4 linked regions of the Arabidopsis thaliana genome follow. The protein of the gene in region 1 interacts with the protein of each later gene in a pairwise test. Each region holds a gene or a part of one and is shown on either strand. Other genes may lie near its edges.

The links.
Region 2: the proteins of AT3G42725 (region 1) and NLM1 interact in a two-hybrid assay, tested with the Arabidopsis thaliana proteins (one large-scale study listed by BioGRID).
Region 3: the proteins of AT3G42725 (region 1) and AT3G57220 interact in a protein complementation assay, tested with the Arabidopsis thaliana proteins (one large-scale study listed by BioGRID).
Region 4: the proteins of AT3G42725 (region 1) and AT2G37050 interact in a protein complementation assay, tested with the Arabidopsis thaliana proteins (one large-scale study listed by BioGRID).

What each region holds. Positions count from the first base shown.
Region 1 is NC_003074.8:14,842,303-14,845,402, reverse strand, and holds AT3G42725 (Putative membrane lipoprotein), read left to right. Parts: upstream 1-1,684; 5' UTR 1,685-1,712; coding exon 1,713-2,321; 3' UTR 2,322-2,554; downstream 2,555-3,100.
Region 2 is NC_003075.7:10,420,983-10,425,520, reverse strand, and holds NLM1 (NOD26-like major intrinsic protein 1), read left to right. Parts: upstream 1-2,012; 5' UTR 2,013-2,111; coding exon 2,112-2,279; intron 2,280-2,391; coding exon 2,392-2,616; intron 2,617-3,040; coding exon 3,041-3,259; coding exon of another isoform or gene 3,260-3,310; exon of another isoform or gene 3,311-3,410; coding exon 3,411-3,472; coding exon of another isoform or gene 3,473-3,476; exon of another isoform or gene 3,477-3,576; coding exon 3,577-3,793; 3' UTR 3,794-4,000; downstream 4,001-4,538. UniProt on the Arabidopsis thaliana protein: Water channel probably required to promote glycerol permeability and water transport across cell membranes.
Region 3 is NC_003074.8:21,172,518-21,177,700, forward strand, and holds AT3G57220 (Glycosyl transferase family 4 protein), read left to right. Parts: upstream 1-1,877; 5' UTR 1,878-1,998; coding exon 1,999-2,366; intron 2,367-2,589; coding exon 2,590-2,677; intron 2,678-2,801; coding exon 2,802-2,893; intron 2,894-2,972; coding exon 2,973-3,091; intron 3,092-3,174; coding exon 3,175-3,290; intron 3,291-3,398; coding exon 3,399-3,526; intron 3,527-3,633; coding exon 3,634-3,720; intron 3,721-3,834; coding exon 3,835-3,895; intron 3,896-3,980; coding exon 3,981-4,021; intron 4,022-4,107; coding exon 4,108-4,228; intron 4,229-4,327; coding exon 4,328-4,387; 3' UTR 4,388-4,677; downstream 4,678-5,183. Other genes in the region: AT3G57210 (uncharacterized protein), read right to left, coding at 845-1,215, 1,331-1,436.
Region 4 is NC_003071.7:15,567,393-15,574,339, forward strand, and holds AT2G37050 (Leucine-rich repeat protein kinase family protein), read left to right. Parts: upstream 1-1,533; 5' UTR 1,534-1,897; coding exon 1,898-1,976; intron 1,977-2,228; coding exon 2,229-2,766; intron 2,767-2,849; coding exon 2,850-3,355; intron 3,356-3,428; coding exon 3,429-3,561; intron 3,562-3,648; coding exon 3,649-3,720; intron 3,721-3,806; coding exon 3,807-3,875; intron 3,876-3,952; coding exon 3,953-4,024; intron 4,025-4,124; coding exon 4,125-4,190; intron 4,191-4,278; coding exon 4,279-4,442; intron 4,443-4,531; coding exon 4,532-4,776; intron 4,777-4,869; coding exon 4,870-4,996; intron 4,997-5,076; coding exon 5,077-5,145; coding exon of another isoform or gene 5,146-5,153; exon of another isoform or gene 5,154-5,220; coding exon 5,221-5,407; intron 5,408-5,506; coding exon 5,507-5,642; intron 5,643-5,743; coding exon 5,744-6,085; 3' UTR 6,086-6,357; downstream 6,358-6,947.

The sequences.
Region 1 (3,100 bases):
TGATACACCCAAAGAAAACAAACGGTAAATTAGAGATTCTAACCCAGTTCCTCCGTTGCCTTTGTCGCAGAGCGTTTTCTCTGCGGGGAAACTCTTAATACCCGCTTCTCCTTCCCTGGACCATGCTGCTTCCTCGGGACTTCTTCGTTTGCTTTATTCCCAGCCATAGCTAAAGTTGCTATCTCGCCGGAGGTTCAAATTTCGTCGGAATAAACAGTAACTTTTTCTTGGCTTCGCCGGGAAAAACAGTAACTTTCTCTTCCCCGGATGTGGGAGTTCAGTGACTCAATTCAACTACCCAACAATTCGAAGTTATGTCGAATTTTGAAACAATGGATACTGAATTTCGTTTCGCTTTCTAATTCTCTCTCAAATCTCTCCGTTACTCTCTTCTCTTTTTCTTTTTCTTCGGTTTCTTCGTTTCAGTTTTTTTGTTTTGTCTTTTTCAAAACTGAACCGCATCAACTAAACCGAAACCAACTGCTGTAGGGTTTGGTTTATGCCATCAACTGAACCGATACGAACTGCTGCACGGTTTGGTTTGTGCCATTATTAAGTTTTCCCAAGGTAATTTGGTCCGAAATTGAATGAAAAGACAAACCGTAAAAACCAGTTCTCACTTTGACAAACGGTGAGAGCAAATCTTTTTTCGTCCACTTCTGTAAATTTTTTTTTAATGGTTAGTTTGCTTTTAATATTAAAATATTAAATATATTGGTTTTGAGACACTAAAAAAATAATTATGCAATGAGAATGCTCTAATGGTCTAATCTATGGTTTTCCGTTGATTAATACAAACCTTATTTTTTATTACTTGTGTCAAATTTCACCGTCCTATTTTTGGTGTCTTCAAACATCTTTGTTTTATGTTTACCTTTTTTGTTTTAATTATATTATTAAAGATTGTGTCTTGGTTTGAAGGAAAGAAAAATCTTTAGATGCATATTCTATTGTTTTTAAGCTCTTAATTTTTTATTAGAGTTTCAATTGGCTTAACTACAGTGACAAATAAAAGAATTAATGATCGATTGTGTTTCGACGATGATTTTTTTACCGAAATATATACCCAACGACCAAGGTTGATCTTGGAAATCGTACGATTACTCATCGAACACATGTTGTTTTGCACGCAGTTGTTGACACGTGGGTTTGGATGGAGTCAAGACACAATTTCTTTTGCAGTTAAACAGTAATCTTATAAGCTCATATTGTACCTCAATATTTTTATAATCTTTTTTGGGATTTTTGGTATAGTCTATGTATATGTAAATAAAATATTAAAATATTGCAATTGAGAAAGAAGAAAAATTTAAATATTTTAGATGCTTAAAAAATACAATTGACATAAAAGAGTATTTTATGGACAACATGAAATATATCAAAAATAATAATCCTTTTCAAATTTCTATTCGAGTAGCAATTTAGTTTTAGGTCTTTGAGAAGAAAAGAAAAAAAAAAGCAATTTAGTTTCAGGCATTTATGTAAACAATAATGATAAAATAGTATTACTAATTCAAATATATACGACCGTCATTTTCGTGAGGCTAAAGGTCAAAAATCTATTACAATACTTTTGTGAAGCCCATTATGTCAATATAACCGTTAAACCTCATCATAGCCGTTACATCTTCTCCCCAACGGGCGCTTAGTTTCTTACTTTACCTATATAAAACTTGAAACAAACAAAAAAAACATAATTTCACAAAACATCAATGGCTTCTTTTCACAGAAAGTTATGTTTGTTCCAAAACATTCTCGTATCGTGTCTGAATTTCACTCTCCTCCTCCTCTCCCTCTGTTCTTTCGTACCAATCATTCTTCTTAGAAACCCTCCAACTTCACTCGGTTTAGCCTTCCTCGCAGTCTCACTCGTCTCTCTGATCTCCTCTTTCGGTAGTGCCTCTTCGCACCAATCTCGATCATGTTTCATCGCGCGGATAACGCTTCATGTTTCCTCACTGACGGGTCAGTTTATTGCAGTTTTAATGTTGTTTAGTAGAGAGAAACAGAGTCTTTCTTTGCTGATATCGACTCGAGACCCTAGAGAGGCTAAAGCTTTGGTTAGAGTAGAATGTGGTGTTTTCGTGGCGATGATTCCGTTACAGATAATGGTTCTAGTGCTGGCTTGTTTGTTACATTGTTATTGGGTTAGAGAGTTCGAAGGGTTAGATGTTGAGAGTGAAGATTCTTTTAGAAGAAAATGTAACCGAAGAGTCTCGACCGCTGAAGATGGGACTAGTTCGGATTTAAAGAAAATGGAGTTGGACGAGAAGATGAATGTGAAACATGTTCAGTGGGTTAAAACAGATTTCGAAGGTTAAAGTGTTTTTATGAATCTATAGTTTGTGATTATTGTTCAAACTTCAAAGTTATATTTTATGTCTTAGTTAAGAAAATTATTTATTTGCTGTTACAAAACTTTGTTAGGTTTTCTACAATGTTGTAAGTAATATGTATGGCTACTTGAATTGTCCTAGTAATGGTTGATCTTGTATTTTTTTCTCTCGTACATCCACCATTAGTGGGTAATTTACATACATACACTAGTACAAAGATGCATGTATTTATTTTGCATTCTTTCATAACCATAAGAAAGATGTCTTAATATCATCATACTACGATCCATTAGCTGTTCCTAAGATCTCAGAGATTCAAAGCAAATTATTCGGCTCAACGATCAAACACATCCTAATGTAAAAAGAAGAAGAACCAAAAACAACCTAATCCAAAAGGGAAAAGCACCAAAAACCTAACTAGAAACTCTTTAAGACTGGACTCGGGTTTTGGAAACCTCTACGGTTGTATGTGATACCGTATCTCGTATCAATATCTTGACCTTGGGTGAGGTGGTGGCAAGCTTCAACAGGTTCTTCAATATCTTGAGCTTGGGTGAAGCGGTGGCAAGCTTCAACAGATTCTTCAATATCTTGAGCTTGGGTGAAGCGGTGGCAAGTTCCAATAGATCCTTTGTGAGTTGCACCTTTTGGGGGTCATCCATTGGAGATGACAACTTTCACAACTTCAAGACACTCCATTTCCAGTAAGAAATGGCTAATCTGTTTCAGCACGTGTGCACTTCCTTGATAATGCATGATACTCA
Region 2 (4,538 bases), on another chromosome or scaffold:
TATTTTAATTCAATTAATGGTTTTGAATTACAATATCTGCATTTTAAGAAATCACATAAGATTTTTAGATAAAATTCAAAAAACAAATTTAGATATATATTTTTTTGGAATTTCTATTTAAAACCTGGTGAAATTGATAATGTGTTTTAACATTAATACATATACTGATAAACCATTTTAGATGAAGATAATATCTATATAAAATTTTCCTTTGCATTATCTTTGATACGTAAACCAGATATATTGCAATTAAAAATATAAAATTACGGAATAACATTGTAGCGAGAAATTGTGGAGCGTCATAATAAAAAAAGTTACATAGTTTTGGTAGAAATTTTTGACATGTAAGTTGTGAACAGACCCGTTAACAAATTTATGTCTCATTTACTTTATGCACACATACTACTCGTAACACTCTCACATCGTACAAAGATATAGATCTAGCACACGTATAATAGCTTCGGAAGTCATGCTGATGAAATGATGTTGATGATGATGAATATGATGGTGTATGATTATATCATGATGGGTTTGATATCATCGATTATAATAAAGTTATGATGATGTAAAAAAGTTAATGAATTGAATCCGAGTGTCGTGGTGGAAACATTAAGTAGCCCCCATAATTCATCAGTCCATTCAACTCATTTATTTCATCAACTTATTAAAATAATATAAAATGATAGTCAATTCATTGGTTGAGTTAAGTCAATGATCTACTAATTTTGATCGACTTTGATACTCCTACATTTACATCAATGTTTCTTTTTCTTTCTGAAATATTCTTTATTTACCTTCCCTTTGCATATATGTATGTTCTCAATTTCAATTCATATTCACTCCTCCTATTTTTTTGGCACCATACATCATGCACATCTGGATCGATACGTAACATGAAAGTCTTTAAGATTTGTCTTGTCACCATTAACCAGCATACGTGTTTACATGTGGAATTAACATTGCTAATTTACTGATAATTCAAATTGTACATTATAAAGAAACTTCATTTTTTCTCTGGTGGCCCGTGGCCACAACCCTACATTCTAACATCCATTAAAGAGGGTTCGAACTTAACCTAATCTAGAGATGACATTTTGAGTATTGTCGCAAATAAAACATTCTGATCATAATTAACATTTAGTTATATGTTAGTATGGATTCAAACCTGAGGTTGATATGATCGGATCCAAACAGTACACTACATTAAGTTTACGGATCGCAATCAAGATTGTTACGTTGGCATCAAGGTATATATAAAATATCTTGAAATTTTTTAGTAATTTTTATAATGTTGTGTACATATGTACACATGCACAACTATAAGCTAAATAAAGTATGTCCGTATTACCCGCTTGGTAGTTGAAGACTTAAAGAGGCCATCATCAATTCCATCTAGTGACATTTTTCAATTTCTCATAAATGATATAGTTTATTCTATAGTTTGCATGACATAATTTTGTTTTGTTTATATGATACGAACAAATTTGGGTGTAACAACATATGACCGGTGACTTTATATCCGAAATTCAGAATTCGATATGAGATGTTCTAAATGAATACTTATGTGAAATACAAACAACGCATAAAATGACGTATATATACTTATGTGATTATAAATGAATATTTGGAAAGTAGAATAAAAATTTAAAAACAAAAAGTAGATTGCAAGTATGCAACATTTGAATCCTAGGCGCGGATGGTTATGCATGTACGACATGCACGAATGATATAGGCTCTCTGCACAACACACAAGATCAAAACAAACAAATTCTGCATGTAGCATTCTAAAATTTTCGATAAATTTTATATTTGTTGATCTAAGAAAAAATTGTAATCCCTGAAAATTGAATTTGAGACCTGGTATAGAATCTCCACAAACATAGGAATTTATTATTATTAAAAAAGCTTTATTAACAATATATCATCTTCTTCTTTTTTTCAATTAATAAACTGGTAATATTAAAATCGTCAAAGAAGTCTCTCTCTCCCCCATGTTTGCCAATAAATAGGAGATAATCGCTACCAAACTTCTCATTCTCACAAGTCATAAACAGTCGTTTATAGTTCAATCCTTTTCCTCTTCTTTGTTTCTAAAAAGAGAAAAGTCACTTATGGCGGATATCTCGGGAAACGGCTATGGCAACGCCAGAGAAGAAGTAGTAATGGTGAATCTCAAGGATGAAGTCGAACATCAACAAGAAATGGAAGACATTCATAACCCAAGACCCTTGAAGAAACAAGACTCTCTACTCTCAGTCTCTGTCCCTTTCTTACAAAAGGTTTTTACTTTTAACTCTCCATATCCAACATGTTTTACAAGTTATAAATGAAAAGACTCTGTTTTGTACCAATTCACAAGACATCTCGGTTTTATTTACGCTATGTTTTCAGTTGATCGCGGAGTTTCTTGGAACCTACTTTTTGGTATTCACCGGTTGTGCATCGGTGGTTGTAAACATGCAAAACGACAATGTCGTGACTCTTCCAGGGATCGCTATCGTTTGGGGACTCACCATTATGGTCCTCATTTACTCTCTTGGTCACATCTCTGGTGCTCATATCAATCCGGCCGTTACCATTGCCTTCGCCTCTTGTGGCCGTTTCCCTCTCAAACAGGTCCTTAACACATACACAATTACATATAGCCTTTATATAATGATCGATCAAGTTTTGTATTTTATGTGTGTTTTTGAGTTTCATGAACAAACTAATTAAAGAACATTAGTGTATTTTGTTTCCATTGATCTAGTTTAGCTATCGGTTGCTTGTATTGCACACGAGACTTTGGGTTATTCAAATACGTAGCGTTTTTAATGCAACGTTTACTATAGATGAGTGAAGATACGTAAGGACAAATCTACTTTTGCTAGTTTCCAAAATAAATTAAAATGTTATGTAACTTTTGTATGTATATAGTTTTTCCACACGTCCATATTTTGTTATATAAACGTCAAAATATCTTCCAAGATTGGGTCCCTTCCCTAGTTAGTGTGAACTGGTGAATTAATTTATTTTATTTTTGTTCTTTGAATTTTTTTAGGTTCCAGCTTATGTCATATCACAAGTGATAGGATCAACGCTCGCGGCTGCGACATTACGGTTGTTGTTCGGACTTGATCACGACGTTTGTAGCGGAAAACACGATGTGTTTATCGGATCATCACCAGTGGGATCAGATCTTCAGGCGTTTACGATGGAGTTTATCGTCACTTTCTATCTAATGTTCATCATTTCTGGCGTTGCTACCGATAATAGAGCGGTTAGTATTTTCATATCTTCTTATGTTGTCAAATTCGATGGCTTATATTAGTGTTATTAATTACTGCTCCCTCTCAGAAGTTACATTTGTTTTCTGTGGTCTTTAAATTTACGAGAAACTTAACATTGGGACCAAATGCTGCAATATTCAGATCGGAGAACTTGCTGGATTAGCAATAGGATCAACGGTGCTACTTAACGTGCTAATTGCCGCGTAAGTTATCAGTTACCATTTCTATTATTGTGCTTATACTTTTTTTTTTTAGAGTAAGAATTCCAAAAAATGATTTATACGGTTATGTTCATCAATTTTATTAGACCGGTATCGAGTGCGTCGATGAATCCAGGAAGAAGTTTAGGACCTGCACTGGTCTATGGTTGCTACAAAGGAATTTGGATATACTTAGTTGCGCCAACTCTTGGTGCGATTGCGGGTGCATGGGTTTATAACACAGTTAGATATACCGATAAACCATTGCGAGAAATCACTAAAAGTGGTTCATTTCTAAAGACCGTGAGAATCGGTAGCACTTGATAAGAGAAAAGAAAACATGGGTGGAGTTGATGGAGTATTTTCAAATGAATGTAACAACTTTCACCACACCTTACGTATATGGCCTTTGTATTAATTGCTACGTTTATCTCTTTTATTGTTAACGCCAAGATTCTCTATCTTGTTATTAATGTGTAACTGTATCGTATATTTTTTAAATAATAAAATTCAATTCTAGAAAGATCAAACTTTAAAGTTTTAAGCAAAATTGTTGAATATGTAGAATTTGGAATTTGTCAAAGGAAAGCACAAGATCCGGAGTCACAATCATTTGCCTAGTGGGGCAATACTTTTGTCCATAGAACTTAAAAGCCGGGCACGGCACGTGTTGGTTTGACCTGATAGATCAAAACTAAACATCATCCACCACATACCAATCTCTAACGAATGGCACACATCCCAAATCATTCACCTCATATTTTTCTCATGCAACATCAGGAAACTTTTCATTTGTGATGAATAAAGAAGAAAACAATGAGGAAACTTTTCATCCACTAAAATGTGAGAAAGAAGACCAATTATTATTCATCTAATTACCCAACAAAGAATAAATTACATATTAGTTGGCTAAAATAAGATTAATTTTTGAAGAATTTACTAATCGAAAAATCCTAATCAAACCGAAATTTCGATCGAGCATAGTAGACTGAGCTGGCCAGCCGCTATGATGTCACAATTCACTAACACAAGGAAAAACTAAAGAACAAAATTGATCATTTTGACGAAG
Region 3 (5,183 bases), 6.3 Mb from region 1:
GAAATGTGAAGTTTGGTTTCTCAACATCTTTAGCTTCTTATGAGTCACTCAGCTGATGTCACAAACAGCTTCATGTTGACTTAAACCTTACAGAAACTTAATGTTTCAGACTGAGAACATGAGCAATAATTTAGAAGAGAGTACTTAAGTCAAATTAGTAGCAACCAGGCATTGACAAGTACTGATAAGGTTGTGGACCATAACAACCAATAAGAACAACTTAAAAGAACTTATACATGTTGGACGTATGATTTAGTAGTTACTGCATTGTTTAAACTTTTCTTGTTAAAATCTTTCTTACACTTTGATACAAAAGAAAAAGATGGTCATATTCTTAAATACTTTATAGTTTGTGCCTTTTTCATGTGATACATAACTCTGAAATCTAAAATAAATTCTTATTACATACAGAAACTATTCAAGGTGGAGACATTTAGGAAACCGTACAACACACAGAAACCAGTCCACTTAACATTTTACCAAATTAATAAGTTTAATAATATCATCTCTAATCCAAATTTTGAACCGCCATGGTTTTTGTAAGCCTTGCGCCGTCAAAGTTTAGATATCCGCCATGGTTTGGGAATGCTGAAACGCCGTAAGAGAAGTTTCACGCTCAGACTCGTACCCTTTTTGGGTATACTTTCGGATGGCTGATTCTATGGATCTTGTTTTGCGAAGACGATGAGCCAAGCCAACGCCATGGTTTGTGCGCCGCCGCCGCCATATCTGCCGTGATTTGTGAATTAAACGCTGGGACAGAAGTTTGCTACTCGTAGCCTTCTTTTTGGGTATGATATCTGAGCTTTGATTCCAACCGTCGAGACTAAAGCATCCCGTAGTCTCATTGAAGGTTTCTTCTAACTACAGCTATGCGATCAAGGTTCTGACCACAGCGAGCCTTACAAAAGTCAATGTACCTTATGTAGACAGTTGCATTCTTAGCAGTGAGAGAGGACTCACTGGGTGGCTCCATAGTTTGAATGGCTACTGACACAATCCTCAAGCCGGAAAGATCATGATCCGTGGTGGTCCTATCAGATATGGCAACAGAAAGTTCCAGATACAGACGAATCCAGTCATTGGCTCGCAGCTCTGATTCATCATCCACCACGTAAAATCGGTTTCTGTTTTCGAAAGGGTTCTCCAGCGGGAACTCAGGCAAGCTACCCATGCGGTAGAATTCTCTTTCCAACGACGTTTTAATGATTGTCCCTAAAATATACAATGATGAATGAAATACTAGTTGTTGTAATAATAATAATGATGTGTTAATGAACACGCCTACCCAAGTAAGGAGTCACATGTAGTATAATAATAATTTAATTACCTGGACGACGTCTTTCAGCAATAAAGGAGGTCAAAACAAGCCGGCCACAAGCTTCTTCATAAACGGAAGTCTGAAAAGTAAAACGCCTTCCACTAGATGGCTGCATTGCAACCAAAGTAATGTAGAAACAGCAAGCACCAGCAGCCAGAGTCCTGTTGTATCTCTTAACGTGAGAGAGCTTTAAGTTTGTCCCCTGATAAATCAAAAACGAAATTTGAATAAAAAGAAGAGCAAGAGTGGATAAAGAAAGAGAAGAAAGGAAGACAAGAGTCTTACACTTTGATTAAAAAAAAGATAGTATAGTTAGTAATTGCCTAATTAATTTCACAAAGAGAGATGATAATCAAAGAAGTTAAATAAGTCTATGGGATGCATTCTTAATAGTAATCTTGTTAACTTCTTTCTTACATTATGAGTCTTTGATTATATAAAAAAAAAAGATATTAGTAATTTGCCTAATTTCACATGAATCCCATAGACTTATTTATTTCTTTATACTTTGCTTTTTTGGGCCTTTTTGATAATTCATAAATAAGTGGTGTTGATACGATGTCGTATTGTTGTGCGTGGGCAAGTTGTAATTAAATGCTACAGGCTTTGAAGCTTCAGCGAAAAGTGGAAGAAGCAAATCCAGAGGCGGGGAACCAGAAATAGCCAACGGATCCGCCATGACTGCTCGTAAGAGAACTCCTTCAGTGTCCAATTCGGAGAAACTAGCTCTACCTGAACCTGCATCTTCCCCGACGGTTCAGAAGACCTCTGTTTCCGGAGAGGATTTCCAGCTCGCGCCGCCGAAATTGGGCGTGATTTTCGTGATCTCTTCGCTTCTGTGTTCGCTTTATCTTTACCTTCTCTGTTTCCACTACAATGTTGACAATGAGCTCAAGCGTCCGATCCTCATTAACGCTGGGCTTAGCTTGGTTGGATTCTTTGTCACACTCAAGTTGATTCCTGTAGCTGCTAGATACGTTCTGAGGCGTAATATGTTTGGTTTTGATATCAACAAAAGAGGCACTCCTCAAGGAGAAGTTAGAGTGTATGTTTTTCCTTCTTAGATTTGTCTTTGTTTAGTTCTCAGATTAGTGTTCAGCGTTTTTCTAGAAATGGATGTCTCTTAGATTTGATTTTTTGTATAGGAGGAAAACTATGAGATGTCTCATTTTCTGATTGATGTTCTATGGATGTTTACGCTTGATTTGATCTCAGGGGACTTAAAGTCTTTTGATGTGCTTATTTTCAGCAATCTTATTTCTTTGTAGGCCTGAGTCATTGGGAATTGTTGTCGGTATTGTCTTCTTGATAGTGGCGATTGTATTTCAGTTCTTTAATTTCACTGAAGATTCGGTGGTAAGTGTCCTGGTCTCAAAAGCTCAAGCTTGATCATTTATTTATTGTGAACTATGAACTTGGTAGCTCTTGGCTCATTTACTTTGAATGCAATTTATCAATCTGGCTAAATGACTCGGTGCAGTGGCTTGTGGAGTATAATGCAGCACTGGCGTCTATTTGCTTCATGATATTGCTTGGATTTGTAGATGACGTCCTTGATGTGCCTTGGAGAGTGTAGGTGCAGTTCTCATTTTGTTGGATTAAAAATTCATGATTTAGTTTTGTTTTCTTATTAACTCTTGTCAATTTGCAGGAAACTTCTCTTGCCATCTTTTGCAACCCTTCCACTGTTGATGGCTTATGCTGGACATACAACTATCGTCATACCGAAACCTTTAGTTTCTTATATTGGCTTGGAAGTGTTTGATCTAGGTACAATTCATCTTGTATATAGTGTTAAACCATCAATAGCTATTTTGAAATTCATTTCCTTAGTTGTATATTTATCGTGGCAGGACGTATATATAAGTTATATATGGCGCTACTGGCTGTCTTTTGCACAAATTCTATTAACATTCACGCTGGTTTGAATGGCCTTGAAATCGGTCAAACCGTAGTTATTGCAGCTGCTGTAAGTTCTGCTGTCAAAATGCGTCGCAATGCTTCATTTTTTTGGTCCCATTTTTCCTTCTGTTGGTTTCTCGTAAGTAAAGTTATGATAAATCTCAGTAACTTGTAGATTCTGATACACAACGTTATGCAAATCGGAGCATCTGTTGATACTGAGTATCATCAAGCTCATGCCTTCTCAATCTATCTTACTCAGCCATTGATGGCAACATCCTTGGCAATGCTTGCCTACAATTGGTAATCTTTGGATCTTTCAAGTCATTTTCTCTTAAATCAATCAGGTAAACTAGCAAAGCAGAATGCTTTCTCTAACCACGTTCATGTCCCCTCTTTGGTGATGTTAGGTACCCTTCTGCAGTTTTTGTTGGAGACACTTACACAGTCTTTGCTGGAATGACTATGGCAGTTGTTGGCATTCTCGGTCACTTCAGGTATACTTCTAACCATACCGTCCTTATTGCAATGTACTTAGATTCATCATTTACATTTAACTTATGTGTGAGCCTTCAATTAACTAACTACTTATGAAACTTTGCTTTTTGCAGTGAAACCCTGTTAATCTTTTTTCTTCCTCAAGTGTTGAACTTTTTACTGTCACTTCCGCAGGTTTGATACCTTTCTCCATCTCACACTTTCTGTTACTTTTCAATACATTTGAAAGCATCTAACTTGCTATTGTATAACTCTTCAGCTTGCTGGCATTGTCAAATGTCCACGACATCGTCTCCCCAAGTAAGCTATTTTTTGTCCATTTTTCATAAGAGGCAAAGCCAACAAGTAAACAACACATGACTCTTCCTCTCTCTTTTTTAAACCAGGTATGATCCTGCTACGGGACTGTTAACAGGAACAAAAGATGGGACACTCGTGAACGTCTACTTGAGGATTTTTGGTAGGAAAACAGAAAAGTCTCTATGTATTCATCTTCTTGTTTTCCAGGTAAACTTGTTAATGCCCATATTATCATCTCTAAATACAAGTTGGTTTATTCTGAGAGAGAGAAATCACAAGATTGGTGTTTTGTGTGTTCTATTGCAGGCTCTTGCTTGCGCATTTTGTTTCATGCTTAGGCATTTTCTAGCTGGTTGGTACAAATAAATCTCTGCAACATGAAGAAACTCTAAACCTGTTCCTCTTTTCATCTCTCTCTCTGCCTTCACAAATCATACAAACACAGAACTTGTTTTGCTTCATGTCCAACAATCTACTAGAATCATCGTTTTAGTTCACTTATATAGAGAGTTTTCATCTAAAGGCGAGTGTATCTCAACAATATAAAGCCAATGAAATGAATCAGAACAAATTTGTCTTGGAATTTAAATTTAACTACAAATGCTGATCTTATTTTGATAACTTTGATTAATAAACTAAATAATTTTTAGATTAAAGTTTTGCTAATATAGCATGCATTAAATGAAGTGTCCATTTACATATATTTTTGAATTTTAAAAATGCGCTTTTAATATTAGACAGACTACTGTCGTACTAGAATAATAAAGAATGTAATAAAAAAATAGAAGGAGAATCGGAAAAGAAACCCACTTATAGAATGCCATGTGTCAAAACATAACAAGCGAAGTATGTTTATATAGTAAGAAAACTCTTTTGCCCTAAATATCCCAAATTGTCATATGTTCTTTCCTTATGTGGCTCTCTCTTCTCTTTCTCTTTCTCTTTCCTTTTTCTCTTTCGATCAACAAAACCACATCTCTGAACTGAACCAATTTCTCTTCTCCCCCTTCCGGTTATCGGATTACCAGATCTCGTTTCCCGCGATCTAGTTTATTCTTTGAAAAAGGTAAATGTTCAATTTTTTTATTTTATTCAAAATCTCCCCTGGATTCAGGAGATGATGATTTGAAATTGACGATGATGTTTGTGTGTAAAAGTGATA
Region 4 (6,947 bases), on another chromosome or scaffold:
TTAATATCTTAATCGAAGCTCAAGTGTTTTTTTGATGGTAAATTAATTCTCATACTTTTTACTATTCTTCTTTCATCTCTTATTTTACTTCTTTATATCTGCAATTTCTTTTTTGTATTAAACTGCAATTGTATTTTCACGCAAGATTTTTGTATTAATACAAATACTTCAATTTTAAAGTCATCTCTTATTTTACTTCTTTATATCTGCAATATCTTTGATATTGTTTCAAAGGCAGCGTCTGCGTCATGTAGTTACTTATTTGTGCACATTTTACATTTTTTTTTAGACTTCCAAGCTTTGGGTGTCAACGAATGTTTGTAAACTGAATTACTGATGATGAGAAGAAGAACACATTACAATTGGTTGGAGCTAATGATGAAATAAGCGGACATGTATATACCCAGCATAATTTTCGTACTTATACTCTCTTATATTTCTAAACTCTTGATTTGTTAGTTATTGCCTATCGCAATTGATTCATTGGGTAGAAAAGTTGTACCTTCTTTATATCTTTTTCTTAATCTTTGTATATTCTTCGATCAATGATAATAAATTTGTTGTATATTAATACTGTCTGCTTTATTTTAAAATTTTTAGTTAAAAGTTGTAACAGATATAATCTAAAACAATGTTATCCCTAAATAGGGGCCAAATGCTAGTTATATTCTAAATCAGTAAATAATAGTTACTACATGCACACTAAAACAGACATAGCGTACGTGGGGGACTTATTTTGGGAATTGTCACATGTGTGTGAGTCACTCACCACTAGGTTCGATTTATATCTAACGATTTTTCCCGGAAATATTTATGGACGAAAAAGCAAACATTATAAGATTCATTTGTTTGTTTTATATAGTACACAAATAATAGAGAATTAAATCACTAATTTTAATGAAAATTAAAAATAAATAATATATATATATATATATATATATATCTGTTGACGAAAATAAAAGCAAGTATATCCGAATAAAATTACGAATATAATTTAGGGATGAAAATAGAATCTCCTATACAGTTAAGATATTATAAGAATATTCATGGTTAGACTATCTTAGAATTAGATAATTAAGGAAAATTATCGTGATCATCAATTTACAAATTTCATACCTGAATTCATTGTTTAATAAGGTAACCTGTTTATTTTAGTTTTAAAAGTATATCAACAAGAGAACTTTGATCACTAAAAAACAAAATTCATACAAACTTTAATCACTTCCCTATATTGAAATGATCTAATCTGGATGAAAAAAATATTATTTATTAATTTCCCATAAAACAATAAACATGTGGATGTAGCTCTTAAATATTCTTAGAGGCAGAGAATGTCATTTATTCAAATCCGGAAATATATTAAAAATGTTGAACAAAAAGAAAAAGAAATATATTAAAATGACACCGTTTCGCTGGAGACTGCTTGGTGGTGGAATTCACTACAACACGTTAAAGGTGGAACACAACGAATCTGGACCATTGAGTTTAAAGGTAAAGCAATTGAACCGTTAGATGTACGTAGAGTCCAGGCTAGGAAGATGGACCCAACAATTGTACCTTTACCACTTACCTCCACTGGCTTTGAAGCTGTTCCTCTCTCACATAAAAAAAGCAAACACTTAACGAGGAAGAAACACACTCATATCTCCTCACGTTCCCCAATTTTTTGATTTTTATTATCTTTTTGGGTTTTTGGGTTTGGTTAAACCATTTATGGGTCTTTAGATCTCTCTTGATAGTAAAGATAAGTAATTTTAGGGTCTGTTTGGTTCTGTTTCTGGAAATTTCACTTTTTTCACTTTTTTGGGATCACATTTAGCTTTTTTTGGTTCCTTTATTTTGTAACGCCATTTATGCGTTAAACTTGTGTGAAGTGTTTGTTTGGTCTGAGCTGGAGATGGTGAGAATCTCACTGCTTTTGTTGTGTTTACTGGTTTCAACTTGTCTCTTCACTTCTTCATCAGCACAAGCTCCAGGTAATTGACTGCTTCTGAGTACTTTTTGATGTTTCCTTGTTGAAATAGTTGGAAAGATTCTATTTTTATGTGATGTAGTAGTAACAAGGATTTTTGAAAGTTTAGGCTTTTGTTAACAAATCTCAAGAGCTGGTGGTGTTTGAGATTTGTGTGTAGTTATGCTCATATATGTTTGTTTAGTTAGATTGAAGTAGGGAAAAAGGGAATGGTAACACAAAGAATCAAACTTTTTTTTTTTTTTGGGTAAGGCAGGTTTTGTGAGCTTGGATTGTGGAGGTGCAGAGCCATTCACTGATGAACTTGGACTCAAATGGTCACCTGATAATCATCTCATTTATGGAGAAACCGCTAATATATCGTCCGTTAACGAAACAAGAACTCAGTACACGACTTTAAGGCATTTCCCTGCTGATTCAAGAAAGTATTGCTACACTCTCAATGTCACGAGTAGGAATAGATATCTCATTAGAGCTACTTTCTTGTATGGTAATTTCGACAACAGCAACAATGTGTATCCCAAATTCGATATCTCCCTCGGGGCGACTCATTGGGCGACCATTGTTATCTCTGAAACCTATATAATCGAAACTGCAGAACTGGTGTTTCTGGCTTCTTCTCCTACTGTTAGTGTTTGTTTGTCAAATGCCACAACTGGACAGCCGTTTATATCTACTCTTGAGCTTAGGCAGTTGAGTGGTTCGATGTATGGTTCGATGCTATCTGAAGACCGGTTTTACCTGAGTGTTGCAGCACGGATAAATTTCGGGGCTGAAAGTGAAGCTTCTGTGAGGTCAGTATACAGTTCATAATCTGTTTGTTGTTTCAGCATTGTGATTTATCAGGATGAGTTAAGGAAATGAGTTGGTATTGCAGGTACCCGGATGATCCGTATGATAGAATATGGGAATCTGATTTGCAAAAGAAGCCTAATTATCTTGTGGATGTTGCTGCTGGGACTGTGCGAGTGTCGACTACATTGCCAATCGAAAGCAGGGTCGATGACAGACCGCCTCAGAAGGTTATGCAGACGGCTGTGGTTGGAACAAACGGGTCCTTAACTTACAGAATGAACCTAGATGGCTTCCCTGGTTTTGGTTGGGCATTCACATACTTTGCTGAAATCGAGGATTTGGCTGAGGATGAGTCAAGGAAGTTTAGATTAGTTCTACCTGAGCAGCCTGAGTATAGCAAATCGGTTGTTAACATCAAGGAAAATACACAGAGACCGTATCGCGTTTATGCACCTGGCTATCCTAACATAACACTTCCATTTGTGCTAAACTTTCGATTTGCCAAAACGGCTGATTCTTCTAGGGGACCTATTCTGAATGCCATGGAGATCAGCAAATATTTGCGGAAAAGCGATGGTTCAGTAGATGGTGAGTACAACTAGCCCCTCCTCTTAGTGTTGTGGCCTCACATTTGATTCTAAGATGATTGCTTGTATTGCAGCAACTGTTATGGCTAATGTGGCATCGCTATATTCTTCCACTGAATGGGCTCAAGAAGGCGGTGACCCTTGTTCACCCTCACCGTGGTCATGGGTGCAATGCAATTCGGATCCACAACCAAGGGTTGTTGCTATGTAAGGAAGTCTATCTTAGTACCTTTATTTGCAATATGTCTTTTTGTCTGCATATTTCAACTATGTTATGCTTCATTCTTTCTGCAGCAAGCTGTCGAGTATGAACTTGACGGGAAATATACCTTCTGACCTGGTGAAATTGACTGGTTTGGTTGAGTTGTAAGTTACTTATTTCTTAGACTTTTGAATTTGGGATTATATAGAGATATTCTCTTTACTGATGTTGCAACTTTTGTCAATGGCAGATGGCTTGATGGGAATTCTTTTACGGGTCCAATACCGGATTTCTCTCGGTGTCCAAACCTGGAGATAATGTAAAATCACTTTCTTTGGAGTTTATATATTTTTTCTTGCCTTCATCTAACTATAAATATATAATGGACTGTGGCAGACACCTCGAGAACAACCGACTAACCGGAAAGATCCCTTCCTCGTTGACGAAACTCCCAAACCTGAAAGAACTGTATGCTTTTTTTAAAGGATAGTTTGATATATTAATTTGTGTGGTGGGGATGACCTTTTAATCTACATTCTTATGCACCCAACCTGCTTTATGATTGCAGGTACCTGCAGAACAATGTGTTAACAGGAACAATACCATCAGACCTGGCCAAAGATGTGATCTCAAAGTAAGTATATTGTCGGATTTAAACTGCTTTTGCATGAATAGTTCCTAGCTAGATCTTCTCAGTAACACATGTATTCTTCTTCCTTCAGCTTCTCTGGGAACCTTAACCTTGAAAAAAGTGGAGATAAAGGCAAGAAGCTCGGTGTCATCATCGGTGCATCAGTTGGTGCTTTTGTTCTGCTAATTGCAACCATCATTTCTTGCATCGTCATGTGCAAAAGCAAGAAGAATAACAAGTTGGGAAAAACTTCGGGTATGTTATATTTCTTCAAGTATACCGGTTTCATAGTGTATCTTGATTTTGAATGAATATGCTTACCTTTTTTCTTGGGTTTATTTCAGCAGAGTTAACGAATCGTCCCTTACCGATTCAGAGAGTTTCGTCTACCTTGAGTGAAGCTCATGGAGACGCTGCACATTGCTTCACACTTTATGAGATCGAGGAAGCCACAAAAAAATTCGAAAAGAGAATTGGGTCGGGAGGTTTTGGAATCGTATACTATGGTAAAACAAGGGAGGGGAAAGAGATTGCTGTAAAGGTTCTTGCAAATAATTCATATCAGGGAAAGAGAGAGTTTGCAAACGAGGTAAATCTGCCTTAGTCTAAAACCATGTGCCTAAGTATCTAGTTTTATTTTATTTTGCTTAGGAAGTAACACAAGTGATTATGGTTTTTTCAGGTTACATTACTCTCAAGGATACATCATCGGAACCTTGTGCAGTTTCTTGGTTATTGCCAAGAAGAGGGAAAAAACATGCTTGTGTATGAGTTCATGCACAATGGGACTTTGAAGGAGCATCTTTATGGTAACATATCTTTTTATGATAGGATGGTATATTTCAGCCTTTTGGCTTAACATTATGATAACAAGTGGATTTATTTTCAGGCGTGGTACCACGTGACCGGAGAATCAGTTGGATTAAAAGGCTTGAGATAGCTGAAGATGCAGCCCGAGGTCCGTGAATTGTACAACAAAACAGAAAGCCATTTTTTCGATATTTGATTTTGTTGGTTTTGATTGTTTCTGTAGGGATCGAGTATCTTCACACAGGGTGTGTTCCAGCAATCATACATAGAGATCTCAAGACTAGTAACATCCTACTTGACAAACACATGAGGGCAAAGGTTTCAGATTTCGGTTTGTCGAAATTCGCAGTTGACGGGACCTCACATGTCTCCAGCATTGTCCGTGGCACAGTTGGATATCTTGACCCCGAGTAAGCTAAGACTTAAACTAATACCAAGAACTTCAGATAGATTCACCAAAACTAGCATAATATCAAGAACTCACATATTTTCTTTATTCGATGTTAAAGGTACTATATATCGCAGCAGTTAACAGAGAAGAGTGATGTATATAGCTTCGGAGTCATTCTTCTTGAGCTAATGTCTGGCCAAGAAGCCATATCGAATGAAAGCTTTGGTGTCAACTGCCGGAACATAGTCCAATGGGTTAGTTCAACTTTTTTTTTGTGTGGTTACGCTTTGTTTGGATATATGTAATATGGAATCATAACGGTTTATAAATTATCGCTTGGTAACGGTTTTTGTAGGCTAAGATGCATATAGACAACGGGGACATCCGAGGGATCATCGATCCAGCGCTAGCGGAAGATGATTACAGTCTCCAATCAATGTGGAAGATTGCGGAGAAAGCGTTGCTGTGTGTGAAACCGCACGGGAACATGAGACCTTCGATGTCCGAGGTGCAAAAAGATATCCAAGACGCGATTAGGATCGAGAAGGAAGCGTTGGCTGCAAGAGGCGGTATATCAGACGAGTTTTCCAGGAGCTCGGCTCATTCGTCTTCGCTCAACATGGGAATGCTTGACCTGGCTGGATCACAGAGTTATGTATCCATTGATGAATCAGTATTGCAGCCAACAGCTCGGTAGTAGATTCGGCTTTGTTTGTACAGATGCATTACTTGCTTGTGTTTTTGACCTTTCACATTGTCTCTGGTCTTTAGTTATTAGTTTTGAGCTTAACACTACTTTTTTTTCTTTCTTTTGGACTCGAGGTTACAAGAAGTGCTTCGAGTTTGTTTGTTTTTCTTTTATTGTTTTCAGACTAACTCGGTGATTTATGTGGGATTGTGATATATTATGTTTTCTTTTAACTGATTTTCACATTTTCAACTGATTATATAGGATGATGTTTATGCTCTCGTAGAAATAAGTTCTATAGGTTATTGACACATTCGAGATTCAGGCGCAGTTGTGTTAGTAGTGGTCAAACCAAACCCACGAGTTACTTCTCATGATACAGTAGGTTAATAAAGGGCTTGAATGGTGTACACTTTTATTTTACGTTTTGAAAACATAATTCTGATAAATACATGTTATTCTAAAAAATTTACGCTAAAATTATAGAACATGAATTTAAACACTATAATCTATAACTATATTTTTTTTAAAACATTGATTTAATGATATGGGATGTTTTTCTCAGTGCTTATAAGCCAAAAAATATGTTGGTAATCTCAAAAAAAAAACCTTGAAAACAAGGAGGCCGATCAGGGTTCTTTGGGCTTTGGAATCGAGAAGTTTGATCAATGTTCTCTTGGTACAGCCTGATGATGAGGCCCCATTAGAAAAGCTATTTCATACTCCAGAGTCCATATCTGAATGTACAAGGTTTTTAAATGGAGAAAAGCCTATAGAAGAAATTGTTGACTATACTTCTTCTTGTACTAGCTGGGAAACTGATACTGACTATACAGATACTGAGAAAGAAGAGTCCAATGTTCTCTTGGTA